2 linked regions of the Arabidopsis thaliana genome follow. The protein of the gene in region 2 interacts with the protein of the main gene of each other region in a pairwise test. Each region holds a gene or a part of one and is shown on either strand. Other genes may lie near its edges.

The links. Proteins that work in one complex are often made in the same cells at the same time.
Region 1: the proteins of SCO3 (region 2) and AT3G22440 interact in a two-hybrid assay, tested with the Arabidopsis thaliana proteins (one large-scale study listed by BioGRID).

What each region holds. Positions count from the first base shown.
Region 1 is NC_003074.8:7,957,023-7,963,419, reverse strand, and holds AT3G22440 (FRIGIDA-like protein), read right to left. Parts: upstream 3,668-6,397; 5' UTR 3,567-3,667; coding exon 2,654-3,566; intron 2,320-2,653; coding exon 2,144-2,319; intron 2,044-2,143; coding exon 1,534-2,043; 3' UTR 1,049-1,533; downstream 1-1,048. Other genes in the region: AT3G22450 (Ribosomal L18p/L5e family protein), read right to left, coding at 42-977; AT3G22436 (uncharacterized protein), read left to right, coding at 5,400-5,522; AT3G22430 (RNA recognition motif XS domain protein), read right to left, coding at 5,815-6,170.
Region 2 is NC_003074.8:6,794,423-6,800,819, reverse strand, and holds the start of SCO3 (SNOWY COTYLEDON protein (DUF566)), read right to left. Parts: upstream 3,350-6,397; 5' UTR 3,043-3,349; coding exon 1,594-3,042; intron 1,079-1,593; coding exon 959-1,078; intron 440-958; coding exon 323-439; intron 208-322; coding exon 118-207; coding exon of another isoform or gene 97-117; exon of another isoform or gene 1-96. Other genes in the region: AT3G19565 (F-box/associated interaction domain protein), read right to left, coding at 3,914-3,921, 4,400-4,626, 4,659-4,798; AT3G19560 (F-box family protein), read right to left, coding at 6,018-6,397. UniProt on the Arabidopsis thaliana protein: Probable microtubule-associated peroxisomal protein required for chloroplast biogenesis and for the formation of the prolamellar body and prothylakoids in etioplasts.

The DNA.
Region 1 (6,397 bases), 1.2 Mb from region 2:
ATCTTCTGGGCCCATATTACAAACTAGAAAATTTCAGTCCTCTAGGCCATCATTAGATGACTAGTCTTCTTCTTAAGTTTCCTCTGCTTAAGCTTCACTTTAACATTAACACCATTGTCAATAAGAGCTTGAAGCACGACCTGAAGCTTACCTTCAATTTTATCTCCTTTCCTAGGAGTGTATATAACATCATGTATGTCATCTTCCAAACTTCTTTGAGCAAGAACTGCCCCAACCGCAGCGCAAGCTGCAACGTTTCTTCTCGAACCAAGATCGAATTTCATGTCTTTTGAAATCGAATGAGCCACAGTTACAACCTTACTAGTCACCCTGTGAATCACACATGCTCGTACAGACTCTTTCGAGATGTATATGTCTAAGCAAAACGGGTAGTGAAATGGCGCCGTGAGTTGGTTAAACGTAAATGTTCTTTCTCTCTTCTTCACAGCTTCATTAGGATGATCCGTCTCACCTGTGAAAGAGTCATTTCTCTTCTTGTATTCGTCACGAACTTCCTTCTTGTTATCCTTCTTTATCTTTGTTTCTTCTTCTTGGTTTTGCTCCTTTTTAGCGTTCTTGTGTTGATTCTTGCGGTGGAAGTCATAGTTGTATTCCTCGAATTCTTTTGAACCTCGATCGAGCTTGAAGAAAAGATCACCGCGAATTCTCATGTTATCGATTTCATCGTGATCGGGATCTTCATCATCGAGTATTGTTTCTCTTACTCCTTGTATTGTAACGGGAGAGTTTTTTGCAGTGTCTGCTTGGAACTGTCTCCAAGCTTGGGATAAAGATGATGAAACATGCCAAACATCATCATCCACAGTTTCTATACCACAACCACTCAAACCAGTCACTGTAACTTTACCACTTTCACTGTTGGAAAATCTCGAGGAGAAGCAACGCGGTGCAGGTCGAAAAACGGAGATAAAATCTGGCAAACGGAGACACTTTCTTCTCAAAACCATCAAAGCCATTGAAGGAAAAGAGACCAATTCTGAAAACGCACGTGAAAACTAAACGGTAAGATTTCAAAGAGACATATCGTCGAACATCTGGTGTGCAAGGTTGGTAAAGAGAAATTTCTCACCACTGGCTTTGTGTCTTGTACCGAAATTGAATCACCACTTTGCTCAATGAAGAAGAAATGCAATTCAACAGAGAACTGGTGGGTATGTCTTCAAAGCAACGACCTCCGATGTTAGATTTGATCGGAGATAGTTGGTGACGAAGAGAAGTTTGTCATTCGATTAACAGAGTACAGAAATATAAGTTTGTTGACTGAATATTAGACATTACAAAAGCTTGAGTTTTGTTTTATATGCGATTAATAATAAACACACCAGAGGATATAAGCTAAGTTACTAAGAGAGTTAGGCTGAGAAAGAGATATTACAGACAAAAACGACGACGTAGGAAGACAATAGACCCAGAGAGAGAGAACACCAGAGTAGTAGCAGTTGTCACAGTATCAGTGATTTGTTGGTTATTACCAATCTTCTTCCTTGTTTTGTTGTCACACTGTCTTCTAATTCAGTAGTAATGTTGCTGATGGTGGAATTGGTGGTGTTGATGATGGTGTGGGTGGTAAACTGGAGGAGCTGGAGCAGGAACTGGACCATTACAATAACCGTTGTACGCTGGGTAACCGATAGGAGAGCCTTGGTATGAGCCTGGGATGATCTCCGGAGAGTATGGATAAGGTGGGCTTCTGTTGCTGTAGACTGTTGTAGGTGGGGATGGGTAAGCTGCTGGTGAAGCGTATTGAGGAGAGTGAGAGGGTGATCTGATGAACGGGAAGGAAGAGACGTATGCGTTTGTGATACGCCCGGCTTTGGCTGGTGGCATTGGACCGTTGTAGCTGGCTCGGGTTCTTTTGTTGGCAGGAACAGCTGCTGGCTTTCTCTTCTCGGTTTTGGTCTTCTCTAGCTGATCCAACCGTTTCTTGAGGTTCTCTGGAGGGAACTCTTCCTCGAGTTTGTACTCTTCTATGCATTTTAAAACCGCCTTAAGTGCTGATTGCTCCTTGCGCGCCACGAGATGCTTAGGAAGAAAACATAACAAGGAAGATATTAACTTTCAGGGACGCACAGATAAAAATATTTAGCTGCGATAGAAATGAGTAGATGCAATGAGTAGATACCGTAGCTCGGCCAGTATTGCTAGAGTCCTCCATGATAGAAGCTGCTGACTTCTTTGCGTCCCTTAGATAAGCTTTGAGCAAAGGAACAGGAGGGAACTTATCCACAAGCCCAACTTCATAAGTAAAATGAACAGCATCAAGCTGTTGTCCCCTGCTGATTAATTCTTCAATCATGTCTGTGGACAGCGCAACAACTTGTAAGTTCAGATATTATAAAACGAGATACAGAGAAAAAGGCTTCAACTTCACACAGTCTGTGGTCAATAACACCTTGTACCACTAATGTCTCAGACTTCACCACAATCTATGCCATACAATGTTTGCCACACAAACTTAATATTCGACTAATCAACTCGTAAACTATTTGTAACCTACCAAAACTATACATCTAGATGGGTTAAACTATTAGTAAACTAGCCAATTTCAAAACCATATATGATCTCACAAGTTACAATGAGCATGCCAGGATAAAAAACTAATAGGTAGAAGATAAGAGCTTAAGAGGATTACCAGGCATTTGATCACCCAAACCAACAGAAACCGCAAGCTTAGGCATCTGTTTACGCCACGCAGATCCAACAACAAGCTTTCTATACAAAGCAAGATCTTCACTTTTAACAATTCCAAATGTAACAAGATGCTGCAAAAACGTATGAACATCAGGAGTCTTCACATTCTCTATCCTTCCTCTCTCTTCCAAACTCTTCTTCCACGTCTCAGCAATCTCCTTAGCTTTCTCCTTAACACTCGGAGTAACAAGCAACCTCGATTTCCCAATCACTGGATCAACAATTACAGGTGTTAAACTCTCAAGAATCACAACACAAGCCCATCCATAATCATTGCTAACTTTATCTCCTCTTGTATCCACCGGAAAAACCTCAGATATCGCTTCAAGCACTAACATCGCCGGATCTACACAATCAACCAACGCCGCCGGAATCTTTGACCGGAGATTCTCCAACTCCTTCTTCCTCGCCGTCACAAAGTTCCAAAAACCTCTCGCATCCATTTTAAGACAAAGAGATTTCAAAGCAGAAAGAAGACCTTCTTCATCGTCAACATCACCGGAATCATCATTAGAACCATCACCACAACCATCTCTAGCTTTCTCTAACGATTCAAGAGCAGCTCTAGCTCGTTCACCTACTTTCCCAGCTACGATCTCAACGCTATGGTCGATTGTTACCTCTCTACGCTTCAGAGACTCGAGCGAGGTCTGAGTCTGGTTATCTAGAGTTTCAATCATCTGCTTCAACGCTTCAGATTTCTTCATCAGATTCTGCTCTAGAGAAGTGAAGTGATCGGAGAGCTCTTGCCATAGAAGAGTACAGCTAGTCATCAACGACGTCTGTTTCTGAAACTCCTCGAAACTCGGCTGAGCTAACTCAGTTAACTCGCCTGGATCGGGGACTGACCCCATCGCCGGAATCGGAAAAGAAACTCAAACTCCGTTGATTTGATTGATACAGCAGAGAAGAATAAACTCAAGAGAGAGAGTGAAATTGAAGAAACCCTAGAAATGGGAAAAAAGTAAAGAGACGAAGAAGAAGATAAGAGACAAAAGAAACAGTGACGTGGACAACTCGAAATAGCGACACGTCTCAGTGGAGTCTGATTAAAGGCGCGATTATTACATATTCTTCTATATTGCGCCGTCGACGCGTAGCTTAGCGTGATATGCGTAGTATAAGAGAGTTGGGTGATGACGTGGTAATAATAATAAGTACTATTACTATAGCTTTGCTTTAATTTTTCGTATAAAGAAAAAAAAAGGTGAAAGAGATAAGTGGGCCAAGCCCACTGACCACCACATGCGTTGAGTCGGAAACCAGTGAAGCATTGCCGGTAAAATACCAATTGAATAACAAAAAACTATATAGTATAGCAAAAAAAAAAAAATGTTGTTATAATTAATATGAAATTCTTTGTGTAGTGTAATGTAGTAATGTAAGAAGAAGAACAATGCATGTGTTTTGTAGAAAAGGCTGTAATGAAATCAGGGCACGCGTGACAAATGTTAAAACGTGATAATGAAGCAACCACAAAGAAGATTCATTAGTACACATATAAAACTAATCTTCGTACTATGTTTTTAATATCTTTGTGATATCAAAACAGAAGAATAGAATAAAAACGAAATTTTGAATTTGGTTTTATTAAAGCTATTGCTTTTTTGACATCAGTGGAATGGATATATCATAAAAACTTTTTTCTGTTGATATGTACAAAATGTTAAAACGGGACAGTGACATATAACACATTATTGAGGGGAAATATCCATTACTCTTTTAGACCTCTTGCTATTAGAGTATGATTTTATAGTTACAAAAAGGTTAGAGAAACATTACAAAATTAGAATGAGACGAAATATGAAACTGACGGCTAAGAATAATTTATCTAATTAAATGGGTCCGTAATGGCCGACTACATATGAACCGCCGATTACTGTTTCCGCTTTATAGAAAAAGTGAGTAGAGAAATTTGAAAAATGTGAGGGAGATAATCGAATTCAAAAGAGATAATGATTTAAATTTATGCATTGATTTGACCTCAGTCTAGCTAGTCTTATAGTAATATGATTATGACATTTTACATAATCTAGTCTTTTTTCTAATATGTTTAATTCTCTTATAGTGCATGTAACTCTATCAAAAGATACAAAGTACTTTGTCCTGCATATTGTACATTCATAAAATTATATCCTAGTTGTTATGATATTGGCCAAACTATAATCCTATATGTTATATTAACTTTCACTACCGGATAGTGCTTGATTACTTTCATAAGTGTTAAGGTTTATCTTAAATTCTTAATCACACGGCCTAAACCGAAGCTGATCAAACTTCCTTTAACAAAACGTGTAAATTGGTAAGCCAGAGCGAACCAAAGATTTGAATGAAGACATGTAATAAAGTTTATCAGAACACAAGAAAGTAGAGGGGAAAAAATCGTCAAAACACTTTATACCTAACTTGTCAATTAAAGAGTTATAAACAAAGACAAAACAAAATTTATATAGTGGTTACCAAAAGCCCCCACAAAATACAAGTCCTCTTATCTAATGTTTATTTTTGTTTTCATACCAATTTATAATTTTTTTTTTATTTTTTTTTATTCAAAGAAGATAGCTAGCTTAAACTAAACACCACCATTGTTGTCACCAATCTAAGGTGACCAAATACATAAAGCTACTACCAGAGTGCAAACAAAAACAATAACTCAATGTCATAGACATCATCAATACAATGGCACTATGGCAACATTGTTTGGTTGGTTCAATATTCTCATTTCCATAGGCTGGCTAAAGCCTAAAGAACAAGCAGGAACCACTATTCGAAAGGATGAGATAGAACAAGGAAAGAAGAAACGAACGTAGGAGAATCAACAGGGACATCAAAAGCATCAAGCAACTATCACAATATACTTCTAAGGATGTTGGTAAAGAGAACTTGTATATATCAGGTTCAACCGATATTAGACTATGCAATATGAACACTGAATCGAAGGATCAAAGAGACCAAGACTTCATCTATAAATTAAAAAAAAAAAAAAAAAAACTTTCGTTCCTCCTTTCGAGTTTTTTAGGTTGCGACTAAGAATCCAGATTCAATAGGCAACAAATACCTCGAAAGTTAAGTGTACCTTTCGTGGGAGAAGAAAACTGTAATTTACTTTGTTCTTGTGAGTTCTCTAAGGCTCTCGATTGTGGTTTTCTTCTTTGTCTCCACATCGACTTTGTCCAAGTCCGTTACAGTCGCGAGATAACCATAAAAGATCCTCTTTTTCTCTCCCGTCCTCCCATCAACCTCGACAAGACCAGGGTTTTTCTCATCATCTTTGCTTGGAGTGAGTGGCTGTACCCTCCCCCAACTCTTACGCCCACGGTTTATCTTCTCAAAATATTCTGCCATTCTCATAGCATCCCTGAGCCCTGAATCGTCTCCAGCAAACTTGAACAGGGTAATTCCCAAATGACCCTCTCTTCCATACAACGACTTCGATTTCCCACCAGTGAGTCCTAGTTCTGTAATTATATATAGAAATCAAAATGAAGGCAGACAAAATGTGTCATTGAGTGTTGTTACACGATATAGGCTAATAACTAGATACATGTACTTGCACACCCATCATTAGCCTAACCACAAGTTCTAAAAATAGAAGCTGAGATTCCTAGAGAAAAGACCAGAGAAGATGGTGGCCCAACAAAGTTATGTTAAAGAAGCTTATATACTTCTTAGACCACCACTGTTG
Region 2 (6,397 bases):
TATTGCATTCTAATATTCTATTCTCCGACGCAAAACAGAAATGGCACAGAAGAGCAATGAGAGGATAAGCTTCCTTAGTCAACATTCACGTTATAATCACCGAGACAAGGTATTTACCTTCGATGTAAGTGAGAATATTGAAGACACCATAGCGTGCATGACATCAACCGCTGAACTAACAGCATGCTTGAGATCTTGAATATCAACCTAACAACACAAAAATCATTTAAACGCATTCAGAAAAAAGAATCTAATGTTCACTACTTAAGGATACAAAATAAGACAAAACAAACATATCACGGTCAGGCGAAGAAGCACTCACCACGGCTTTACCACTAACTGGAAGACGAAGTGTGCTGGCTTTCAAGGCTTCAGTTGCTCCTGACAAAGAATTTGAGTGATTTCTGTCCAAAAGAGACCATTCTTCTAGATAACACATCTACAATTCCCAAATACAATTATTTCGTCAGTCTCAAAAAGGTTACAACATTTTAAAAAACATTTCTATGAATGTCATTTTTTTTTCTATGAATATGTCATAATCTCTCTTTTTTACAAGTGAATGTCAGCAATTAAAAAAACTTTTGAATTTTGAAATAAATATGCTTTCATGTTTCTTAACGTGCTTCCTTGTCTAAGATTCAGAATGCCATGAGATGATGATTTTAAGCAATCAAGATAATAACTTCCACAGAAGCAGAACTAAGAAAAATGTACCACATTCACTTGTAAGATCGTAACGGTGCAGTTATCATTTGGCAGTACTTAATTGTATTCAATTTACTTTTCCATTATAACAAGAAGTTTTTTTAGAAATACTAAGCCACATTCCTGAAGATACTTGTTTAGTCTCAAAACTTGAATGGTGCCACTAAATTTAAGCTAAGAATATAAACATGAAAAAGTTTCTTGTTCAAAGAATTAAAATTATGAAGTTGCTAGAAGTTCATATTCTCACCTGCTCCTTCAAGATGGAAGCTAGTTTCAGTTTCTGCCTCATCAAGAGCAACTTGATCCGTTTCAGAGTGACAGAATGGCGCAATTCCGAGATTGATACCCATGCATTCCACAGGATTTTCTGTCAAGAAAAGAAAAAATGAGTTCACCAGAATGTGTCTAGTTTATTGGACAAAATCAATAACTCAACTTTCTAAAAGAGTATCCTATCATAACGATATCTAGACTTCATAACTGTGTTAATGCTTACTCCATTCATATTTTCATCTATGTCATCACATCAGCATCAGGCAAAAGTTAGCATGCAGCACAATCCAAAACGTAGAAACTAAATTAAACACTATTCTAGGTCCAAGAGGCTTAGCATCAGATCTCCTCTTACCAGAGAAGTATTAATAAGTCTTCCCTGTTGGTAAAATACAAATCGTGTTTCTAGCATTATCACGAAAGAAATGCGTACTTTAGAGGCTTAAGCATTTGCATTGCATCAGTGGCTAAAAGTAAAATACCAATAATGATTTTCCTAAGTCTGCTGCAGTGGCTAACTAAAGACAATTACAATCAGCAGGCACACACATGACACAATCATAAACTCAATTATTAAGCATTAATGCGGTAATCTAAAAGAAAGGATACCTCTGCACTCAGTCTTTGTACCATGAGAGTGGAGTCTGCCCTCGCATTGGCAAACCGCCACTGCAGATCACGGTTATACAGAAGCCTCAACAAGTGGGCATCCATAACACGATCCTCCCCAATTTTACCCCTCCTAATATCAGCAGAGAAACAAAGAATTGAAGGCAAGGTGCGGTTATAAGCATTCATTTGTTCAGAAACTCCATTTCTCACTCGAGAAGGACTAGATGATGTCCTAGCTGGAGCTGATGTAGCTGTTGCCCAAAGCTTACTTGGTGAAGCAGGGCGAGTAGCACCCCTTATTGGAGAAGTCATACCACGAGGAGATGATGTCAACGGACTATCACTAGAGAACCGTTTCGATTGACTGAACTTTGATGAGATACTACTGATTCTCGAACTTGGGCTAGAACATTGAGGTGAGCCAGGATCCTGCATCCGCCTTAACCTGCTATTAGTCTCTTGCCAGAATTTAGTAGAAGCCATACCATTACGCGGCAAGCTCCTTGTTTTAGAAACCTCACCAGAACCACATTCATGCGCACCATTAGTACTACCAGATGAAACACTATCAGTATCAGATGCAGTAAAGTCACACGAAACGCTAGAAGCCAATCTTGGATGTGTGCTTTGTCTTGCCTTGTTCTCATCTCTCATTTCCAACATTCCATCACCTCCTACAAAACCTAAATTCAATCTCCCATCACCAGAAACCCTAGAACTCTGCGAATGCTGCAACATTGACCTTCCCACAAAGCCAGATCCAAGCTTCCTCCCATCATCACTGTCAGAATCCACGCTTCTAGAAAGCGAATTCGGCACAACAGATTCAGAACTTCCCCTCCGAGAAGCACCAGGCCACAGTTGCTGATCCACCGGCTTTGAATTCTCCCGCTGATCTCGAACAGGTGTCGCTCTCCGCCGCTCCGGAGTACATTTCCGGTGAGAAACCGGCGTGGCAGTCTCCTTCTTCTTACTAATCGGAAACGAAAACGCCTCTCCTTGAAAGGAAACAGATAAACTCCTCGTAGAAGTGATAAGCATCTTCGTCGCCGCCGACATTTCCGTTCGGGTGTCAGAAACTGCCGACGGACGACGACGGTCCACCGATTGAGACCGTTTAGGTAACGAGGAAGGCGTATAAACCAAATTAGAAGCAGAATTCGTCGTGCGAGAGAGCAAAGGGGAAGGATATCGCTTACTAGACCTCAGTATCACAGACGAAGAAGACGAAGTCGAAGTAGATGTAGCAGTGGTCGTCGTCGTCGTCGTGGAATGTGAAGGAGAAGGGGATAAGTAGCGTGAGGGGACATTTTTAGCAGCTCTAGGTCTTCGTTGTAGTCCGCCATTGTTAGCTGTGAGCTGAGGTTTGTCTTGCCGATCTCGAGGTGGAGGATTCTTAGAGTCGGTGTTGGAAATTGCTGCTCCTTGAGGAATCGCAGCCACCATTATCTACGAGAAATGTCTCGCTGCTTCGTCTTCTTCTTCGTCTTGTTGTTCTTCGAGATCTTCACAGTGCATTACAGAGATTTGGCAGTTGCTTCTCCTCACTCTAACTTAGAGCAAATAAATTCTGCAAATCCAAAGTGAATTTTGTTCAGAGAGGATTTTGCATATTTGTCTTTGCTTCAGAGCGAAGAGAGAGAGATGTGAGAATTGAAGAAAGGGTGGGGTTTCTGGATTTGGGGTATTCTGATGAGCTCATCTTTTTTAATTTTCGCTTTTTCGGAGGTTTGATGAACTTTTGCATTAACTCTGTTTTCATTGGCTAATTAAGCTGAATTTAAATTACCTAATTTATTTGCTTTTTAGCCAATTAAAGAGAAATCCGAAAATAACGACATTAATAATGAGCCATGACTTTATATGATAAGCTCTCGGTATTAAAACTGTAAAAAATTTACGAATTTTAAAATCAGAACTTTGCAGAGTTGAAATTATGCTTTGTGATTTCTACTAAACTAGCTTGTCGATGTGCTGTTATCCAAAATTTTTAAAGTATGATAATGTATTAATGTGACTAAGTGATAACAAAAATTATAAGCTGTGATGCATTTGGAGGAGGTTAACATGTTTTTTTTATATTCGTTCTTATGAAAGACCACAGCGATTTTCTACTCTTTGGTCGATGAAGAAACTCACATTAGCTTATATTTGCCATGGCTAAGGACCAGAGCACCAATCTCAGTTTCTGCATTATTTTCCAGAATGTGAAGAAAAGAATGGTGGGTTACTAAAATGTTGTGCATGTAGCAGGAACCATCATATTAATGGAATAGAATGAAACCAGCACCGACCATTTCAAGGTATCTTCTTAGAATTAGGCCACTAAATGAAAGCCCACAACAAAAACAACCCTTTTCATTTGAATTTTTCAAAATTAGTTCACCACTAAACATTTAAAAAGTTTGCAACAGAGATAAACGTAACTAGCTAGGGTACTGTTTCCGTGATCAGATAAGCAATTCTTACACACGAACTATATACAATAACAGACAGGAGAAAATCTGTTATTCTTCTTGGATCCTAAAGAAGACTAGTTAATCAAGAAAGTCTCTTTGTCTGTCATCGACAATTCATCACAAGGTCTTTTGTGCTTTGAGGCATTTAACTTCAAACAGAGAAAATTTTATACCCTTGCAATATTTGAGGTTAGTGCTTATCATAAAGGCGGATCCAAATGAAGGCAAATCTTTAGAATCTAAATGTAATGCATGTTTGTTCTAAATGACTGACTACTAAACAAGAAAATCCAAAGAGTTAATATATGAATTAAAAAAGAGATGCAAGAAACTAAACAAAAAACCATCCTTGTAGAGACCGGGCCTACTTGGAATATAAGAGTACACAAATGGCCAAGATGTAGTAGATTCTCCGAGATACACTTCTTTGTAGTATCCATCCTTTCCAATCATATAAGCTGTGAAGTTGGTCCAATCTTCTCTGTCTTTACAGAAAACCAATGCTACTTTCTTCTTCTCGTCCACGAATAAGCTCACATCTATATTCCTCAATCTTTCATTGAACACTGACCTATCCAGTTTCAAGAAGTAGCTCCACGACACCGCGTTGGGTCAATCTTAGTTGTAATCCATATCTCCATCTCACATGCATTCGACCTCTTAAATAACACTACACGCTTTTCTTCTCTAACAGAAGATAGAGTCACAGCATCGTCAGGATAAGATTCAAACGGCAGATGCATGTTCGGTCCAAAACTCTCGTTTGTAAAAATCAAAGCAAAGTGAAACATTTGTCATCACTCCTTCCAATCTTTCCTGAGCAACAAAGTAATTGTTACCCTTCACGGACACGCCCCGAAAACTATAGTTTAGTATATACCAGTACCAGGAGTGACATCAAGAACCGTTCATATGTTACACTTAAGATCGAAGATTTCGTACTTAAGAACTCGTTGCGCAACATTGTGATCGTAATAAATAAATACCTCGATATTTTGTGGTTACGGTTGTTGTCGTATCCAAGAGCATACCTTTCTAGTCTGTGGTAACTACTTCTTGGTTTGATCCACCTCGAGGCTAGTGCTGTCCTTAGTGACGCATAGCAACAAGCCATCGCAGTGAAAGACGTTCGTTAACAAATGAATTACATACTCTTTTATAGATGGATCTACCAAGTCTTTGTGGTCATGGATTCCATGGAGGTTGACGCTCATTAAACAAGCCCTAAAATCATTCAACATGATCACCAGATGCTTTACCACAATGCTTCTTTGTAAAGCTTGGTTCCTTAGATAAAACGTTCCACTTTTTAATAAATATCATGAAAAAAGCTGTTGTTGCTACTGAATTAAAATTAGTAATGGGATTCTCGATTGAGTTTTTTCTTTAAGCTAAGAAATTTTCTGGAACTGAAACGAGAAGCATTTTTTGCTCTGTTCCAAGACAGAGCAGGCACAACATTTGTTTTTCTTATTTAATTCAACACTTGCTATGTTTCACTTAGGAGGCTAATATAGTTTTCAGCAGTCTTTTTGTAAGAGCTAAGAGACTATGTTATTTGACATATGACCCTGTTCGGCACTTGGTTGGCAGCGACTACAAAATAGATATCGACTGAGTTTAAATCATTAAATGAGTCGCCGCAAAAGCGATCCTTTTTTTTGTAACGTGACACCCTCTCTTTGTCTTAGGACACCTCCATCATATGAATTGTCTGTCTTTTTTAAAAGAATTGACTAAGAAGAAAGTAACAAAAGGTTATTGGGAATTTGAAGGACTCTTCTAAGCAATGTGGCTACCAATAAATGCCAACAAGAAACAATTATTTCGAGAATCAAGTTTTTGTCTCATCAACTAATTAAATCAGTAATTTATAAGAATGAAAAGCCAAAAAGAGTAAATGAATGAAAAGAAAATGCAAGAAACAAATAACATTCTGGTAGATTTAATACTCGACATTACTCAGACTTGCACACAACTTGGAACATAAGAGCACATAGATGGACACCAGTTAGATTCTCCGAGATCCACTTCTTTGTAGTATCCATCCTCTCCAATCATGTATGTCTTGTTGTTGATGCCTTTTTCTTTTTCTCTGTTTATACAAAAAAGCACTGCTACTTTCTCTTCCACGTCAACGAAGAAACTGCCACCAGATATATCAACCTTGAAATCAAATTTTAAGAAGTAGCTCCACGACACTGCATTGGGCTCAATCTTTGTTGTAATCCATATCTTCGTCTCATATGCATCACACCTCTTACATAACACTGCAAGCTGCTCTTCTTGAACAGTAGATAGAACTAGAGAAGTTTGATTATAACATTGGAATGGAAGAGGGA